Bombyx mori: one gene and its partners. The protein of the gene in region 1 binds, or shares a complex with, the protein of each later gene. Links are inferred from orthologs where the notes say so. Each region holds a gene or a part of one and is shown on either strand. Other genes may lie near its edges.

Region 1 (6,105 bases):
ACCAAAAATTTAAATAATGTCTTTCTATCAAATTTTATTTCTATAAGGGTGGTAAAAAGAAAACAAAATTATCAATTACACTATCAGGTTAACAGGACATTATATTGATGCCGAAGCAAATTTTAAAGAACATAGTCCTACCACTAAATATGTAATTCTTAAAATTTCAATTTCATTTATTCCTAAAATTTGCTTCAGAAAATTTTAGAGATTTCTGCAATATTTTTTCGTCTGCAGCTACCTACACAGGTGTGTTTTATTGTATTCTAAATAATAATAAAAAAAAACATTAAATTTAGCTTAACTTGGTAAACAGAACGATTTTCTTATAACAAATTCTTAAATATTAATTAAATACATTACTTTGAGTCGAGCCCAAAGAGATGGAAGAGACCTCATGGAATTCAACAGTAACAATATTTTTGTTTTAATGTCACTCTGTGGGCAATTCGCTCAGAAATTTAATTCTTAATTAGTAATATTTTTTAATAAATTCCTAATGTTTGCATTAGAAACATTTGAGAATGATGTGATTATTCTTTCAAAGTGGTCAACTTAACACAATGTTGCTTGCCATCATGGCATTTTAACTCTATTAGGTAACTTAGCATAACAAAATCTTATTAAATCTACCATGCAATCGAACCTGTTGAAAGCCAAGTAGAAGTTACTAGAAATCTTAAGTTCAGAATCAAAAGTAATTACTATGAAGTAAAGATAATAAATTAGCTATAAGTTTAAAACATTGCCTGACTAGCAATTTTAGGTATTTCATAAAAACAAAAGTCTTGCAAACCTCATTTTTCTTATTATGGTTTAAAATGTGATAAAAAACTTCGTTTTTTCTTCATTTTATGGACATATACACCCCATTGAATAATGAAGAAATATAGATTCAGATAAATCTACTCTTTTTTTTATTTTATTGCTTAGATGGGTGGATGTAACATAAATGCAATGGTCTCAAGTATAGTTACAACAGCTGCCCCATTCTTCAAACCGAAACTTATTACTTCGGCAGAAATAGGCGGGCTGGTAGTAGCTACTCATGCGGACTCACAAGAGGTCCTACCACCAGTAATGACGCAAATTATAATTTTGCAGGTTTGACTTTTATTACAATGTTATTCCTTCACTGTGGATGTCAATCGTGAACATTTGTCAAGTATGTATTTCATTAAAAGAATTGGTACTTGCCTGGGATTCGAACACCAGTGCATCGCTTAACACGAATGCACCAGACGTCTTATCCTTTAGGCCACAACCAATTGTATGTTATTCTTCTTGTGTTATTATACCATTCAACCAATTGAGGAAAACTTTCCACTTTAATGAAATGTTAACAACATTCCATCGTATTACAATCAACTTATGATAGATAGCACGTGTAGTTTCAACAAATGAGTGCCGTTCATACATTTAGTCATATGCACAACAAAGTGTAGAGGTACATTTCACTAGTAATGGAATATCACTAGAACACAATGAATTACTAATTTTTAGTCATCTTTAGTACAATACTCTCTTTGGGCTCATTATTCGACTTAAACCTACTTGTACACTTATATTTACGGTAATGGATGTTGGTTTGGTGTAAGGCCTCCATGCTCAGGGCTGTGTTTTTGCTTTTTTCTCTTTTTCTCTTTTTTTCTCTTCTTTCGTTCTTTCTCATCGTCATGACGTTTTTGCTTCTTATGCTTTTTCTCATATGTGTCTGGATTTGATGAATCTAGAATAATAGATATGTTTTATATTAAAACTCAAGACAAAAATGGAGTATAAATAATATAACTTATAAAGCAATTTAAAAAGTATCACTTGACATCTAAAGTTAAATGAAATCATTGTGGCCTAAAGAATAAGACGCCTGGTGCATTCATATTGAGTGATGCGACTGTGTTAGTGTTGGAATCCCGCAGATAAGTACCATTTTTCCTTATGAAATATGTACTTGACAAATGTTCACAATTGACTTCCACAGTGAAGGACAGTGTTGTAAACAGACTCACTAAAAATAATTGATAGGGTGTCTTCTGAGCCCGCACGGGTTAGTACCACAAAATGTAAAATGCAGAGTACAATTACACTGCAATTCAAATACTGTCTTAACTAGATTAATGTAGTCAAAGTGCCTGGAAGACTCACCTAGACCTAAATAGCATCTACAGGTGGCTAATTTGTAATATTGTCTACAAGCTTGGGACATAGCTAAATCTATTAAATCAATGTTGTTGAGTTCTGAGTTCTTACCTTGTAAAGGTGTCTCTTGCCCAGGAGGTGCACCATCTTTATGCTTATGTTTCTTATGTTTGCTTTTATGTCGCTTTGGTGGTGTTGCACTCACATATCTGTACTGCTCAGGAAGTGGGCCAGGGTGTAATCGAAAACCTGCCAACTGAGCACTAGTTAATGGCAGTAATTCTTTACCACCAATTGGTCTCTTAGCTATAACTGAACTTAGAGTACTGTTATCGTCCTGCCCAGGTCCGTCAACGATGCCCGGCAGGTTCGGAAGGAAAGATGATAGGGATTCCTTCAGCTTTTTGCCATTAAACTTACTGTAAGAATGTACAAGTCCATAGTAGGCCATTAAATTTGTAGCGCCTGTCAGTTCACATTCTCCTGTAAAAGAAATCGTCGAAGTCACTTCCTGAATATAATTATTTAAGAATTTGAGAAGAGAATGTTAAAGAGTTGGAGATACTGACCCGGGGGTTCTTTCATCAAATAGAATGGTCCGCTGTGCACTATAGACGGGTTTTTGCCTAAGGATATAGTAGTTTTGAGTGTACCAGAAGAATCTTGGCGAGAGACGACTGGTGACCTCGCACCCCTCGGCGACGATTTTGGCGAATATGGTTCTACTTTCCTAAACTGATCAGACATCATCTTGGATGACCATTATCTACGAAACGAACTTAAATAAATTAAATACTCTAAACAAAATCACAAAAAATTAAAAAGACCTTCCCTACTCCCAAGCTTTTGACAACTCTAAAAAATAAAAGTAGGAACAATGTTGCAACACTTTTTTTTTAAGGGAACTGAGACCTTTAAGTCATGTCTTATTTTAATTTATATTCAATTTTTATGAAAAATAATATTATGGAGTGAAATAATGAAGACGACTAATTTGAGATATTAATCAACGGGATGAAATTAAATGAAATGAAATGGGATGAAATATAATCTCAGTAAAATGGTGGTCATTTACTAAGATTTTTTCAGTGGACTTTTTGGAGGATCCCGAGAAGTTACGTCCAGCGGCTTTGTTTCATTTTTCCACATTTGCGCACTTTCACAGATATTAAACACTTAATAAACCACCATTATTACACATTTAAACCCGAAGAAACACTAAATAGACAAAATAAAACAAATCACACAACTTCACTCCTCACGTTCCCGCCAAAAAGTCCTGTTGCAACACTAGCTTTGTAACTCCCACAGACTCTAATATTGTTATTTAAAGAAAATCATAACAATAGGTACATGGTTTTGTTGGTTCTCAAGAAATTTATATTTAAATTAAATACTAGCAATTCTCAAATTAAAATAGCAACTGTCTAATTAAAATAGACTTGTTTTGAATTAGTTGAAATAGTCTATTATAGTTCTGACACATAAGCACTTGGAGCTTCCGTGATAATTTTGTATGGAAAATGAATTGTGATGTCTATGAGCTTTGAAAACACTTTAAAACTGGTCCAATGGTGTTGGAGTTTGAATATGTAAGTAATGGCAGGTAACACTTGACACATGTAAGGTTACAGTTTTCGAATATTGAAATGCTTATTTAAATATTTAAAACAGATGAGTCTTCTCTTGAGTGAGGACAATGGCTTCTCTTCTAGACACGGACTATGCAACATCTTAGGGTTTTATAAAATAAAATATTGTAATGGTGTTATATATTAACCATGAAGCAGAGTGTTTTTAAATAGCCCCTCACCTACAGAACCCAGTCCTCTCAAATTTAACCGTCCAACAAAAGGTCTCGGTAACAGGTCATACAATCTTTAAAAAATCCACTAAACAAGAAAGCATGAGCTCATTCAAACTTTGAAGCAGTAAAAAAATCAAACATTCTTATTGAAACAAATGCTTAGGCTTTTTTTTTTGTTTAAGTCGTCCTGGCTTAAACTATAAGACGTCCGTAGGCTTAGTGCGAGTTTCAAAAATCGAATCGAATGACTCGCATCGAGTGTACGCTCTTCACGGTGAAACGTGCGGAGCTCTGAGTGCGAGTTACTTGATTTGCAGGACGTTTATTCATTTTGAAAAGCGATATTTTTTTCTTTTATATTGGTAGCACGCAAGGTTTTTTTTAAGGCGTTTAATTGAAATGCCAAGCTTTCTAACGATATTTATAATTAGTCGGGTAATGGGTAATGTACCTGTGCTTAGTGCAAGTTTTTTTAATTACTCAGTCGATGTTAATGTTATGTTTATTTTGTGTGAGGTTGTATCAGTGCCACCTAGTGGTAAGCTTATGAATCTCATTTTGTGGGAGAGAGAAGGTTTGTTTATGTTGCTGTCTCATGTATCAAATAGCTTTACCGAAGTGAGCCTCTCGATTATTGTATGTGCGAGTGCGAGTTGCAAATTAATGGATTTTGAGAGTATTTCTTCACTTTCAAGCAAGTTAAGTAGTCACTAAAATTTTTGCCGTGAAAGCAATATAATATCAAGATTTTTTCTTTCGTTTTTAATAATAATGTTGTTTTTGAAGGTTTTATCTATTCTAATGGTTTATACACATATATTTTTTCGGTTAGAAAATTTTATAGACGTCTAGCTAGTTGTAAATACATATTAATTCTTTGCTTTTTCATTTAATTCTTATTAAATCATTGCTTTTTTTTAAAGAGATGTTTGATGAGAGAGAGAGAGTGAGATAGAGTATTCTTTATTGTACACAAAATGAATAAATATTGCGAAACATTCTTGGTCTTATCGCTAAGAGTGATCTCTTCCAGACAACCATTAGATGGGCAAGAATAATTTCGAAATGAATTGCACACTGTGTACCTATCTATTATAGAAATATATATACACACCCGCACGCACACACGCACACACACACACACACACCCACACACACACACACACACACACACACATACACACACGCACGCGCGCGCGCAATATACATATTTACAGGTACATACGTACAGATTTATATTTTTAAATTATATAGAAATTTGAACAATGTAATAATAATTTTGCTTCTTTACACATTTATAAATAAGGATGGATGCTCGTAATAATTTTAGTATATTTGGGCCACCTAATGAAGATCATATTATCATACTATTACCGTAAATACAATCATTTTATAAACGTTCAACGGGTAAATGATTAAACCTATGTAAAACATAATTTCTTTAATTAAAAAAAGCTGAAATAATTACCTATTCCAAGATTAATTATGTTAAGTATGTCTAAATATGTAATTACAATTAAATAAATTCTATAACAAACTTCTAATTCTAATACTTCTATTAAAGTTACTAAAAAAATATGTTTATGCTGGGCAGTTTTCGTGTATTTTAAAGGTTACGCCATTACGGCAAAGTTTGTTTACGAAATTGTACCCTTAGAATGGAAGTGGTATAACTAAAAAATTTAAGATTAGTTTTATATTTCAAAACACTTATGTATTATTATTAAGAACCTACATTTTAAGTAGGTAATACGTGAAGCAAAAATGTTGTACTCCTTTTAACGAAAATTGCGCGGACGGAGAAGTATGAAATTTCCCACACTTATAGAGAATATAGAGAAGTAGTGCAGATTGCTAATTTTTTTTTTTTAATTGTGCATAAACAATAAAAAAATTAACTAAATGAATAAAAAAACCTTACACACATTACCATGTATTTGACACACACACACACACATGCATTTATACTTTTTTTGTTTATTGATTTATCAATCTGTGGTCAAATTGAGAATAGATTAATATTTTTTGTCTTTAATATTATTTTTCTATAATGTAGCCTTGGCGACATAGAGCAATGATTATTATAGAAATGATGATAATAGAAAGGTGACAATAGAACTATAATAATGTTCAAACTTAAAATTTAAATAAATTATGGT
Region 2 (6,268 bases), on another chromosome or scaffold:
TTCGAGCAGCACTGGCACTTGCAAGCTAATCTCAGCACGGACAACGATATCTAAAAATGACACGACCTCCAGTCTCGGAGGGGAGTGATGTGGCGGGTAGCCATCATACAACGCAAGATAATTGACAGATGCCTGAATCTCGCTTACGACATTTTCAAGATAAAGCGCATATGTACAAGTTCCGAATAACAACATTCGGACCGTCGGTCTACCGAGCAATATCATCCGCTCGGTGGAAGATCTTCCCTTTGTCGTTTAAGCATCCCCAAAATTGTTTAAGTAGCAGAGTTTATATAACATTTTGGGCGCACAATCCTTATAGGACTCAGGACTCACTATCAGCAAATAAAAGTTAGTCTATCATCTTATTCTTATATATTATAGGTACACAGAAAATGATACTAAAATAAGACTTGTAAAAGAATGTCCAATGGTGAGTTTAATGTATTAATTAGTCTTTTGTTCTAACAAACCTAAGGGAACCAAAGATATTAAAGAAGGGTAAAAGTCTTCAACAACTGAAATACACTACACATCACATAACATACATGAAATAAAATAAATCCACATTGCTCTACAAACATCAACTACATACATTAATTATATAAAATCTACTTAATACGTACAAATAAGAAGAAAAAAAAACAATTGAAGCTTATTATTGAGCCTTACTTATTCATGGAAACCTGTAGGTTAGGTTACTTATGTTTTTATAGCTTGAAAAAACCAAGCTGTTTACATCAAAACCAAGCCAGCAAATTAAAAATCTCTTCCTTATTTTTAGTTTATTTACAGTAGATTGGGGAGAATAGAGACTAGAGTTAGAATAGGGACAAATCTGGGATGTCACAATACTCTTGTTGGGTTGTTAGATATAACTTTGTTGCACTGAAGATGACTATTATTTAGTGTTTAAGAATATTATATAGTTTAATTCAGATATCAAAACTTTGTATCTCATTAAAGATATAAAAAATTAATTACCTAAAGTTAGGTACCTACCTAAGAACTAAATAGTGCCAGCCTTATCGAAAAACTCTGTTGTCCCCATACATAGCGTATTTTTTTTATTGCCCTTGTAGGCAGACGAGCATACGGCCCACCTGATGCTGAGTGGTTATCGTCGCCCATGGACTTCAGCAATGCCAGGGGCAGAGCCAAGCCGCTGCCTACCGTTGTATACTCTCCACAAGCCTCGTTTGAAGAAGGACAAGTCAATGAGAGAAATAGCCTCATTCAAAGAGAATCGGGTCAAGCAAGTTTTTTAAGGTTTTGTGTATATTTTGTGACTATATGAACTATATAAAATAATGAATCGTATTTAAAAATTTAAACCTTCGGAGCCATTTTAATCTCAATTTTATTGGTATTACCCTAAGAATAAAAGCATTGAAAATTTGTTTTGGAATTGGAAAGGGTCCCCATTTTCCCCAATCTACGGTACTTAAAGATCATATATAATCATCATACTCAAGCAAAACCAGAAAGCGGTATTGTTTGGGAAATTTGACAAATTATTTAATTGGGTGTCAAAAACTTACAGAAAGCTCCACAAGATAGCTCTGTGAGATAGGTTCAGGTGGCATTGAATTTTGAGAAATCTTAAACACTTTTGCTACAGTAATTTTCATACGACCTTTTCTAAACATGTAACCTGAAATTTAGAATTAGAAAAAGCTTAATGTTTTTTATAAAATTACCGTAATTGATTGATTTTAAATGAACCACTGAAAATTATATGCAATTTAATTAAATCCCAAATCTAGGTAATACTTTAAATTGAATTAGTATTTTTGACTATTGGTCTTCTTTGATTCGTCATTATTAACAATAGTGGTATAGTAATAGTGATGATTTAGAATATACTATCAAATACATGTACAATCATATTACTCATAATTGTCATTATAATAAATATTATTACCTTTTACACTGTATTCAAATTCAATTCGGCATCCTAGCTCATTTAAAAATTCAATGAGCATTCCACTGCAGGCTATATCAAGACTGGAACGGACAACTGTTGGCCTATTTTTGTCCCCCAAATCAGGCTGCCCAATGTATCGTAACTGAAATGGCATGTCTCGAGCATCTAATGCTTTACGAACACGCAACATGAGAGGGGGAGCCTGAAATTTAAATTTATTAAAGATGAACTATTAGAACATGAAAGAAAAATATATAGATTCAGGCATGTCTTTATGCTCACGAATTGTACAGTATTAATAGTGATTACCAAATCATTAGCACTTTTCTTGACCAAACAGGTGACAGCCCAGGCAAAATTTAATCAATTTATAATTTAATACAAGTTTTATTGTATTATAATTTTATAACCATTTTATATTCTAGTGTCCTAAAATAATAATAACATTAACAGAAATATTTTAAAAAGTTCTAAGTATTATTATTACCTGATGATGATTAGGATCCCGTAGACTGAAACACACTTCCTGGTCATCAAATGTTTCTGGCCCAGCATCAACATTGTCACAAAGACCACGTAATCGGTGAAGTAAAACTTCTACTGCCGAGTCCAACACTGAGCCCTTAATCAAATTTTAGTGGAATCAAAAATTAAATGTATAATATTCAACAATTAACAAACTTGACTGAATCTTGAGAAAAGTTGCTGCCTGTTGCCTAATTATCATAATTTCCAGCTATGAAATACTGTAAAATTGAAAATCATTAAATGAATTATTTTTATTTATTAAGAACAGCATTGTAGGCATTGTAACTAAGACCTTATCTCATGTTTTTTTGGGCTGCTATTATATGTAAGCTATGTATGTATGGGTTCTGATAATATTTTGAATGTAGTATGTAAACAGATCAAATGGGTCAAAAGAATTGGATACAATAGCTGCAACTATGGTAATTAGTTCTGTTAAGTATGCAATTTATGGAAACTGTAGAAGAATGTAGACTATATTGTAATTATTCTGAAATTTAAAATAGCTGAGCCACTTCAACATCCTGTAGTACCTGAAGTAAGTATTCCTGATTTGGTATAATGTTCGCTTTTAAAGCTTGCGATAAGCTATCTGTAGCTGTTATAGGTGCAGCGTTTGCCGACATTTTATGGAGCTGAAAATCTGAAAACCTACTTCAATAGCAGCTATTTAAAGATTTAAGTTTTGAAGAACTATGTGTGAGCCAAGAAATCATTACACTTATAAACGACTTTTCTGTCTCATAGAGGTGCATTCAGTCTAAATAGTCCATATAACCGAAACTATAAATATTGCGTAAAATAAAAAACTAGGCAATTTTAAAGGAGAAAATAAATTCTAATTTCTAATTAACATAATCTAAATACTCATATTGGAATTTAACAAGGTAGAGATATGTTTGCAATCGCTGTTAGCTTGACAGTTACTAACAATGTTGACATTTAGCCTCATTTAGGTGACATTTTGTAATTTCCTTTTTCAAATACAGGAGAGAGAGGCAATGGTATCGCATCATATTATCATATTGGTACGGCCGTATTTGTTTTTAAACATTTTTTGTCACCAATGATTCTACATGCGAGGAGTGAAATTGTGTGATTTGTTTTATTTTGTCTATTTAGTGTGTCTTCAGGTTTAAACCTGTAATAACGGTTGTTTATTAACTGTTCAATATCTATGAAAGTGCACCAATGTGGGAAAATGAAACCAAGCCGCTGGACGTAACTTCTCGGGATCGTCCAAAAAGGCCAAAATCTCAGTAAATAACCGTCATTTTAGTGAGATTGTATTTCATCCCTTATCATCTGTTCAGTTCTCGTTCAATCACATGAATGAACAATGAGTGTGAAGAGTTAATCATTAATTTCAAACTATAAAAGAATATTATTTATATTTTACAATAAAATTGTATTAAAGTGCTCCAATATATGTTACTAGTAGTATGTAACTACAATTACTTTTTTTTATTTTCATTACATACCTATAATTGTTATATTTTATACATCTATAATTTCAACTATATGATGTATTGGAAATAGGACAGTCTTACAAGCTTCCTCGCAATGTTTTTCTTAATGTTTAAAACACTCGGTATTCAGTGCAGGTAGATACTATAGGAACATAATATTTCGTCGAAAACTCATTGGTTGTACAAAGCACGCCTAAAATTCGAACCCCGTACCCGATATCGGCAATTCGGCACACTAACTATTCACTAGACAATCGAGGCAATTTCATTAATTCAGGAGTTTTTTCAATCGTTCACTTTGTCACAACACTATTTTTATTTCATCAAAACCTGACAACACAGTAAACGTCAGTTGACTTCGTCTAATAAAAAATCCGACTATAGGTCTATGAGTTCGTTGTACACAATTCACAATTAGCAAAGAGGGAGCTTAAAAAAACATTAGAAATGGTCAGTCATGTATCTATAAAACTCGCATCTGAAAGAGTAAATCATTCGGTTGCCTCAAATAATGACCCGCCGCGTTTTTACACTCCTGGCGAAGTCATAACTGGGATACAAGATTTTATGAGGTCGGTATTTTTTGCGAAAACAATATTGTTAAGAATTATTATTACTATAAATTTAATAATTTTGCACTTTAAGAGGCCACGGAACTTACGCAGAAGATGATTGCCTAAAAGCATCTGTTGCTGGGGTTATGCAAAAAGTAAATAAACTTATATGCATTCGCCCATTGAAGAGTCGTTACGTTGGAGAAATAGGCGATGTGGTAGTCGGAAGAGTATTGGAAGTTCAACAGAAAAGATGGAAAGTTGATACCAATTCACGACTTGATTCAATACTTCAACTTTCTTCAGTAAATCTACCTGGCGGAGAATTGGTAAATTAACGCACACTTCCATAATATAAAGCAATCTTCTTGTATCTAATGATAACTATTTATATATTTTTTTAAATCCAGAGAAGGCGTTCAGAAGAGGATGAGCAGATGATGAGAAAACATTTACAGGAAGGTGATTTGATAAGCGCTGAAGTACAGAATGTATTTTCTGATGGTTCGCTCTCATTGCATACAAGAAGTTTGAAATATGGCAAGGTAATCAGATTTTATGAAGCCAATAAAAAATGACTATTCTAAAGTTCAACAAGAATGTTATAAGGAAATTAAAAATATTCAAATATGTAGCAACATTAAATTTTGAAATCCTCCAAAGTGAAGATGATATTTATCCTTCTGAGTAGATTAAACATGCTTCATTAGCAAATTGATTACAAGTCTACACAAACACTTAAATCTGCTTTAATTCACTACCTATATGTTTAAATAAATAAAATCAAGGGGCGTAAGGCTATTTGTTTTAAGTGACACTTCGCTTACTACATGGCATCTATCTGTGTAATTAAAGGTAAATTTTATTTGGTATTAGTTTATACAATTAATTGTTTTTAATTGAACACCAATTAAGTATTCTCCATTGAAATAGCTGGAGAAGTTTTGTCATGTTTTTTTTTCAATTTTTAAATTACATGACTTTCCTCTAAACCAAATAGCCCTTCATACCTTAAAATAGAATCATTCATACAGTCCTCTAATAATAATTAATATCACAAAATGTTGAACTTTCTACTCCTTGCTAATACTAAAAAAAAATTAATTTAAGAGTTTGTTCGAAAACTTTATTTTTTGCAGCTTTCACAGGGAACTTTAATAAAAGTATTCCCGTCATTGATAAAGCGCAGAAAAAATCATTTTCACAACTTACCATGTGCAGTATCTGTCATAATAGGGAATAATGGATATATATGGATTAGTCCACACAAAAGTGATATTCTTATGGAAGGAAATAAGGATGCAATTGAAAATTATGAAATTCAGGTGGGTTAATGCTATCAGTGTGCAGTGTTCGGGAATAGGAGTTAAGAAAGATAAACGATAAACACAAGTTAAAGATTTATTATATCATTTTCACTAAACTTTGTGTTTTTCCATGTTTTAAGAAAATAGAACTCATGCATGTTCTCATGCCCTCATGAAATTGTTGCATATGCTAATATGATGCTGATATCATTTTTATTGCAGCCTGTTGGGAAATCAGAAAGAGAAACGATGGCGCGAGTGAAAAATTGTATTTTGGCACTTGTGGCATCTAAGATGATGTTAGATGATACTAGCATAATGTTTGCATTCGAAGAAAGTCTCAAATACGACAATGTAAAGGAACTCTTGGATCCTGAAGCTATGCTTGACGTAGCATTTTTAACTCAGCATAGAATAAATATTATTGCAGAAGAGTGACTTTATTGTGTTTTAATTATAGCTAGAAAATATTAATAATAAAGG
Region 3 (6,019 bases), on another chromosome or scaffold:
AGCTATCGGGGGGTGATCTCCGGTGTCTATGCAATGTTCTATGAATGGTGTCGGACCTCCCCCTGCTGTAAAAATACTTTCATGCCGAATAAGGAACTCGGATAATGCTTGGCGCTCAGCTGATTGCAAGTGCATACCTTCATCATCCCGAAGCATGTTAGTAGAAGCTATGCACACACCACGAGACATAGGTTCAAAAAGTAATTTATAATGCACCTTAGCATCAGTACTAAAATACCATTCATGACGATGAAAATCAATAATAACTTTGGCAGCATTAATAAAATCAATACCCAGTAAAGTTTCATTATCATTAGAATCAGGGAAGATTATAAATGGAATATCAATCACTATGTGTTCTAACCTCACTGGTAATATGGTTGTCAATACATCCATATTCCGAACATGCCCATCAGCAAGTTTGACTCGCCTAGTGGAGGGAGTAAGAGGGTGACCCTTATGCAGAAGGAGAGCATACAGCGTGTGACCAGCAATACAATGCTTAGCTGCTGTATCTATAAGTGCAGTACCCTGATTACCGAGAACTTGAATTTTGAAAATAGGCCGTAAATGCAAATACCTATCATCACTCTCACGGTCGTACACGGACGCTACAACACTTCCCTCACATGTACAATAATTAAAATTCAGACAATTATCAATTTCCACACATTCGTTAATTTTTCCAAAATTACACTTACTGCCTTTTGTGTCACAGTCATGGTTAGTTGAAAATTTTAAATTATTACAATTTGGTTCAATTATTTGATCATAAGGTAAAAATGAGTTCTTACATTTAGGTCTAGTTCCCTGGTTATAACAAATATTTAAATTTTTACACTTTGTCCGAACATCCTGATTATATAAAACATGAGAATAACAAAAGGTTGGCATCTCATTATTACTAGTGCAATTACAGTTAATATTCTTTGACACAGAATCATTACAGGCATGAAAATAAGATTTTCTGGAAGTAGGGCCTCTGTTAATGGTAGCATAATTAATATTTGCATCCCGGTTACAAAAATTTTGACATTCAAAATTACTCAGAAAAATATTTTTGTCATGCTGCTTAACATCATACATTGCATTCTGAACAGGTAAATTAGAACTAATTGTGTTAGTATTATTAACATTACACTGAACACTATAAAACGCATTATTGTCATTTTGCACACCCTCGGAAAAGTTAGATTGACTTTGCTCACCTCGGTTGTTTAACTTACGGCACTGTTCCCGTGCATGTCCAAACCGTTTGCAGTAGGAGCACACTGGACGCTGTTTCTTCGTGGTCACGAATTGCTCTGCAGAACCTGGCACAGCAGCGGCAGGCGTGGCAACGGTAGGCTGGGCGACAGCGACAGGCACAGCGGTGGCGGGCACGACGGCCGCGGCGGAGTTTGGAAAGCGCGCGCGCGGCGCCGGGGCACTCGCACGAGCGGCGCACGGTTCAGGCCGACTCGCAGCCTGGGCCGGCTGGGCACGGATCGAACGCACACCACTAGTGGACGACACTGGTCTCGATTGAGTCTCCTCTATCGAATCTTCTATATTCCGAGCATGGTTTAATAATGAATTGAAAGATGTGATTTCTTCACGGCGCAATCTTGTGCGTATTCTATTATGAAGCAACCCGTATATCATATCAAGTTGTACTTTTTCAGCAATATCATCCCGCGGTAGCTTTGCCATAAGCGCACGAATACGAGCAACAAACTTGTCTGTGTTTTCTTTATCCTGCGGGGAAACAAATATTTCCAAATATATTCTATGTGGTGGAAGGCGGGTGCCATATGCATATATTAAATTTTCTTTGGCTTCGTTCCAAGTGGAGATGTGATGCTTTAATCCTAGCCACCACGTAGCTGCGTCAGCAGACAAAAGCATGGCTAGGCCTCGTATGATGTTAGCGTCAGATACTTGAACGCATTCTGTATAACTTTCAATTGCATCTATAAAGGCCTCAACAGATTCACCAGGTGCACCGCTGAAAGAAGCTCTGCAACGCGCCAAGGTACCATCTACGTTCACTGGGGGCATCGGCGGAGGTGCCGGAGTCGACGATCTTTGTTCCATCACGTACGACATAATGTTCTTAAATGTTTCGGCCTGCGAACGTTGCAGCGAGGCCATCAACGCTGAAACATCATCCAAGTTGAACGTAGAATTGTTGCTACGTGATTCGGCGTGGGGGCGATCATGGGGGCTATCATGCTCCTCGTGATTTTCGTTGGCATTTGCATCTGCAGCAGGAATAACGTCGTCTTCGCGACGTTGCTGGCGATCTTGACTTCTAGTTAAAGGCATTCTTTACAATTAAGCACCAACAGCATACAATAGTTAGCAAATTTTTCACAAAAGCGTGCGCGCCATTTTGTTAGTCCAAGCAAGAAAAAAATTAGGAAACGTTGGGCAGCCAGATATAGTGAGGGGTAGATCTCAGGGGTATTTAAAACTATGGGTTAGTCACCAATATCGAATTTCGAATTTTAATCTTCCTTTATAACAAACAATTTTCAATTTTTAAACAATAATTACATTTAGACGCGGGCGCACGCTATTCACACTCAAAACGGAAGCGCCCGGAACATAGATTATACACTGTTACAAGATTGACATAGATACTAACTATGTATAGCGAGCGGGCATACGGCCGCGAGAGTGACGTACCGGTCGGTTTGCTACATATTTAATATTTGTTCAGAGTGGGGGTATTCATCTGATTAATCCATGGAATAACCGACACACCTAATCTCTTAATCCAGATAGAAATATCAGCACTGTCGATTGCACCTATAATTGAGGTGATGTCTGCCATGTACTTTTGTCAGTTTTTCAATTTTTTTTATTGATGATCACTTTGTTGGTGCAACTAAATAAATAAATAAATTAAAACTATATATAAAAATAAAAGTAGTGCCAACCCTAGCAAATTTCTCGTTTCGTCCCAATTAACCGCAATTTTCGGGTAAATAGGGATTACACCTATTTTTGCATTTTTTGCTTAAACTGGAATGCTAGTTGCATAATTTTAAATTAGACAACAAAGATGCCCCCAAGACTCAATCATTTTGATCCTGATTTAGCATTATATACATCAACAACTACCTTAAAATTGCTCATAAAGTTGGAATTTGTCCCTAATCGCCCCATTTTACGGTACGGTAGGTACCGTATGGTACCATTTTGAGATATATTACTTATGTACCCTTAGTCCCTTACGGTTATTTAATAGCTAGGTAAGGTACGGTACCTAAACCTTATTAAAATCTAACAAAGAGAATTAAAAAGTTACAATTGTGTACCTACCATTTACAACAATGAATATGCAGCAGCGAGAAGAAAAGCAACTAGAAGCTACAATAGTTGCGATTTTAAATAGAGTAAATGATTTAAAAACTGCAATACAAGCATTGATAAATAAACTAGAAACGGAATACGAGACAATAAATTGGCCAACTTTTCTAGATAATTACGCGATTTTATCTGGTCACGTAAGTCCAATTGTATATTGAAATTCATAGCATAAATAGTGTGTGTAATAGTCAACAAGTCTACAGAGATGGATTTCAACTTGAAGTAGGAAAGATAATTAATTTATTATTGAAAAAACAGTGAAACAAAAACTGACGAGTTCAAAACTCACTTGATGTAACCTGGTTAGCGTGGTCACTGATATTTATTAGGTATTATCCCATTTTGAGACTTGTTTTCAGATTTAAGTGCATTTGTACATAAGCTTTTCACTTTAAAGATCATGTGTTATTTAGTTAAATTTTATTAACTCTTTATTTTCAGCTGACTGGCCTCAGTAAAATTCTCCAAGCCGAACAAGCAGCTTCATTGCGGTCTAGAATTGTTTTACCACTTCAATTAAGTTGCGAACGTGATGAAACACTGGCTCATTTGACAGAAGGCAGAGTTCCAGCTTGCACTCATGATTTAGTTCCAGATTTACTTCGTACCAAACCTGAACCCCAGGCTGAACAGCGTCTCCAGCAATTTAATCATAAAGCTAGTACTTTAAGCTATGATACAGCACAGGTATAGACAATAATTAACATTTAATTTTAAATATCAGAAACATTTAAAGAAGCATAAGGTTTAATGTACCACAAGGAAAAATATCCATTATAACTATTTGGGCTAATTTTTTATGACATTCTTTGTAGACTTCGCAATCTAAATTAGTTTTCATTGTAAACGGTAAAAAAATAGATATATTTGGGGTTAAAACATGTAATGCACTGTTGAGTGAATAAACCCACAGCTCACTTGAGATATAGTGGCTGGGACCCATAGATATCACAGAGTTAAATCAACCTCTTGCTTTGAGATATTTGGTTGAAGTATGTATCAATTCTTTCTTTTTTTTGTTGTATCACTTGTCAGGGTGGTCATGGTCATCATTCAGTATCATTGCAATCATATCATCATTGAATTCTATTAAACTATGTATAATAAGTTCTTTTATATAATCAAGATTTGTCTGCAAAATTAGCATGATAATCAAGTTGAGTACTTAAGACATGCAATTATAACAAGCTCACTTTCTCATGTAATGTTGTGTAGTTGTTACCTACAATTATATAGATGGATGATGTATGGATTATAATAGTTTTATATTCCAGAAACACATTGCTCAATTCACTAAAGTTGTCAGTCACGTTTGGGAAATTATATCCAAAGGCCGCGAAGACTGGGAAGGAGAGTCAATGAGATCTACAGGTTAGTAAAAGTTACAATAGAAAATTATCATAATTACCTAAACAGTTGACAGATTTTAATAAACATTTCATTCATATTATGTAGTCCATTTTTAACTTCTAGAGGTTGAAAAAAGATGCGGGTCACTGTAGTGAAAAACAATTTGTCTTCAATAAAATTTAGACACACATGCTTATCTTATTTCACCTGACCCAAAACACATGCCCGAAGTCTCAGTTGTATGGCAGGCAGGCATCTTATAATTCAAACTGGCATGCCTGTTTTCTTCATAACAAAAATACTTATACACGTCAGTGACTCAGGATACACTCAGCTACTCACAGTTCTAGACCCCAGTCATTGGTGAATATCTACAGAAAAGACAGGTGGGATTATTCTGACCATTGTACACATATCCTAAGTTATTAGTTCATATAAGGTAGGTATGACTTTACTTTGACAAAGATGAAAGATGCCCACCAGAGATGCCCAAGATTTTGCCCACCACTTAAACAAGTATGATGATAATGCAATTTCACAATACAAGCAGTGCGATTATGGAATTCTCTCCCTCAACCTATTTGTGCTAGTTCCTCTCTAGAAGTTTCTAAGAGTCAAATGAAGAAACATTTCCTGTCACTTTAAAAAAGTGTATTTAAGTTATTGTTTTATGTATGTTTATATGTATTTTTCATTTCATATTAGTTTTTTTTTAAAGCTTAGTTTAAAAATCATGCTTTAATAGATTTTGTATTGTACACTATTCCCCTCTTTATACATTGTATTTCTCTCTGCTAATGGTTTGCTGGAAGAAAACTCATGAATGAGTTAAGCTCGCCTTTGTGCATAGTATTTAGACATTCTTTAAATCTGTTTTTATTGTATTTTCTTTTTGTGTACAATAAGTATAAATAAATAAAATAAATAAATAAGTATGATGATAAGTTTTTTCATTGAAAAATGTGTACTGACTTAGGAGAACTGAATCACACCATAGTAGAACAGCTAGAGACAGTTAACTGGATGTTTATGTTTTAATATATATATTTTATGTTTTATTTTTCAGTTTAAGGAAGTTTTTTTTTTTATTGTTTAGATGGGTGGATGAGCTCACAGCCCACCTAGTGTCAAGTGGTTACTGGAGCCCATAGACATCCACAACGTAAATGCGCCACCCACCTTGAGATATAAGTTCTAAGGTCTCAAATATAGTTACAGTTTTTTCTATAGGTATAATTATTTGAAGTTTTACTGTATATGTTATATGTTTTGTGGATTTTTTAAGGTATGCAACCAACACACAACATTGCTG

Evidence for each region.
Region 2: mediator of RNA polymerase II transcription subunit 19 (region 1) and mediator of RNA polymerase II transcription subunit 18 share a complex: the UniProt entries of both Drosophila melanogaster proteins name them as parts of the mediator complex. The link is inferred for Bombyx mori from reciprocal best matches to the Drosophila melanogaster genes MED19 and MED18.
Region 3: mediator of RNA polymerase II transcription subunit 19 (region 1) and mediator of RNA polymerase II transcription subunit 8 share a complex: the UniProt entries of both Drosophila melanogaster proteins name them as parts of the mediator complex. The link is inferred for Bombyx mori from reciprocal best matches to the Drosophila melanogaster genes MED19 and MED8.

The regions. Positions count from the first base shown.
Region 1 is NC_085116.1:16,052,520-16,058,624, forward strand, and holds mediator of RNA polymerase II transcription subunit 19, read right to left. Parts: upstream 3,415-6,105; 5' UTR 2,890-3,414; coding exon 2,709-2,889; intron 2,623-2,708; coding exon 2,251-2,622; intron 1,730-2,250; coding exon 1,569-1,729; 3' UTR 9-1,568; downstream 1-8. UniProt on the Drosophila melanogaster protein: Component of the Mediator complex, a coactivator involved in the regulated transcription of nearly all RNA polymerase II-dependent genes.
Region 2 is NC_085121.1:5,596,123-5,602,390, forward strand, and holds the start of mediator of RNA polymerase II transcription subunit 18, read right to left. Parts: upstream 3,401-6,268; 5' UTR 3,082-3,400; coding exon 2,989-3,081; intron 2,550-2,988; coding exon 2,415-2,549; intron 2,130-2,414; coding exon 1,925-2,129; intron 1,655-1,924; coding exon 1,542-1,654; intron 1-1,541. Other genes in the region: exosome complex component RRP4, read left to right, coding at 4,372-4,496, 4,570-4,807, 4,889-5,023, 5,618-5,803, 6,008-6,223. UniProt on the Drosophila melanogaster protein: Component of the Mediator complex, a coactivator involved in the regulated transcription of nearly all RNA polymerase II-dependent genes.
Region 3 is NC_085118.1:10,645,657-10,651,675, reverse strand, and holds the start of mediator of RNA polymerase II transcription subunit 8, read left to right. Parts: upstream 1-2,619; 5' UTR 2,620-3,320; coding exon 3,321-3,494; intron 3,495-3,798; coding exon 3,799-4,044; intron 4,045-4,631; coding exon 4,632-4,728; intron 4,729-5,992; coding exon 5,993-6,019. Other genes in the region: uncharacterized protein LOC134199859, read right to left, coding at 1-2,307. UniProt on the Drosophila melanogaster protein: Component of the Mediator complex, a coactivator involved in the regulated transcription of nearly all RNA polymerase II-dependent genes.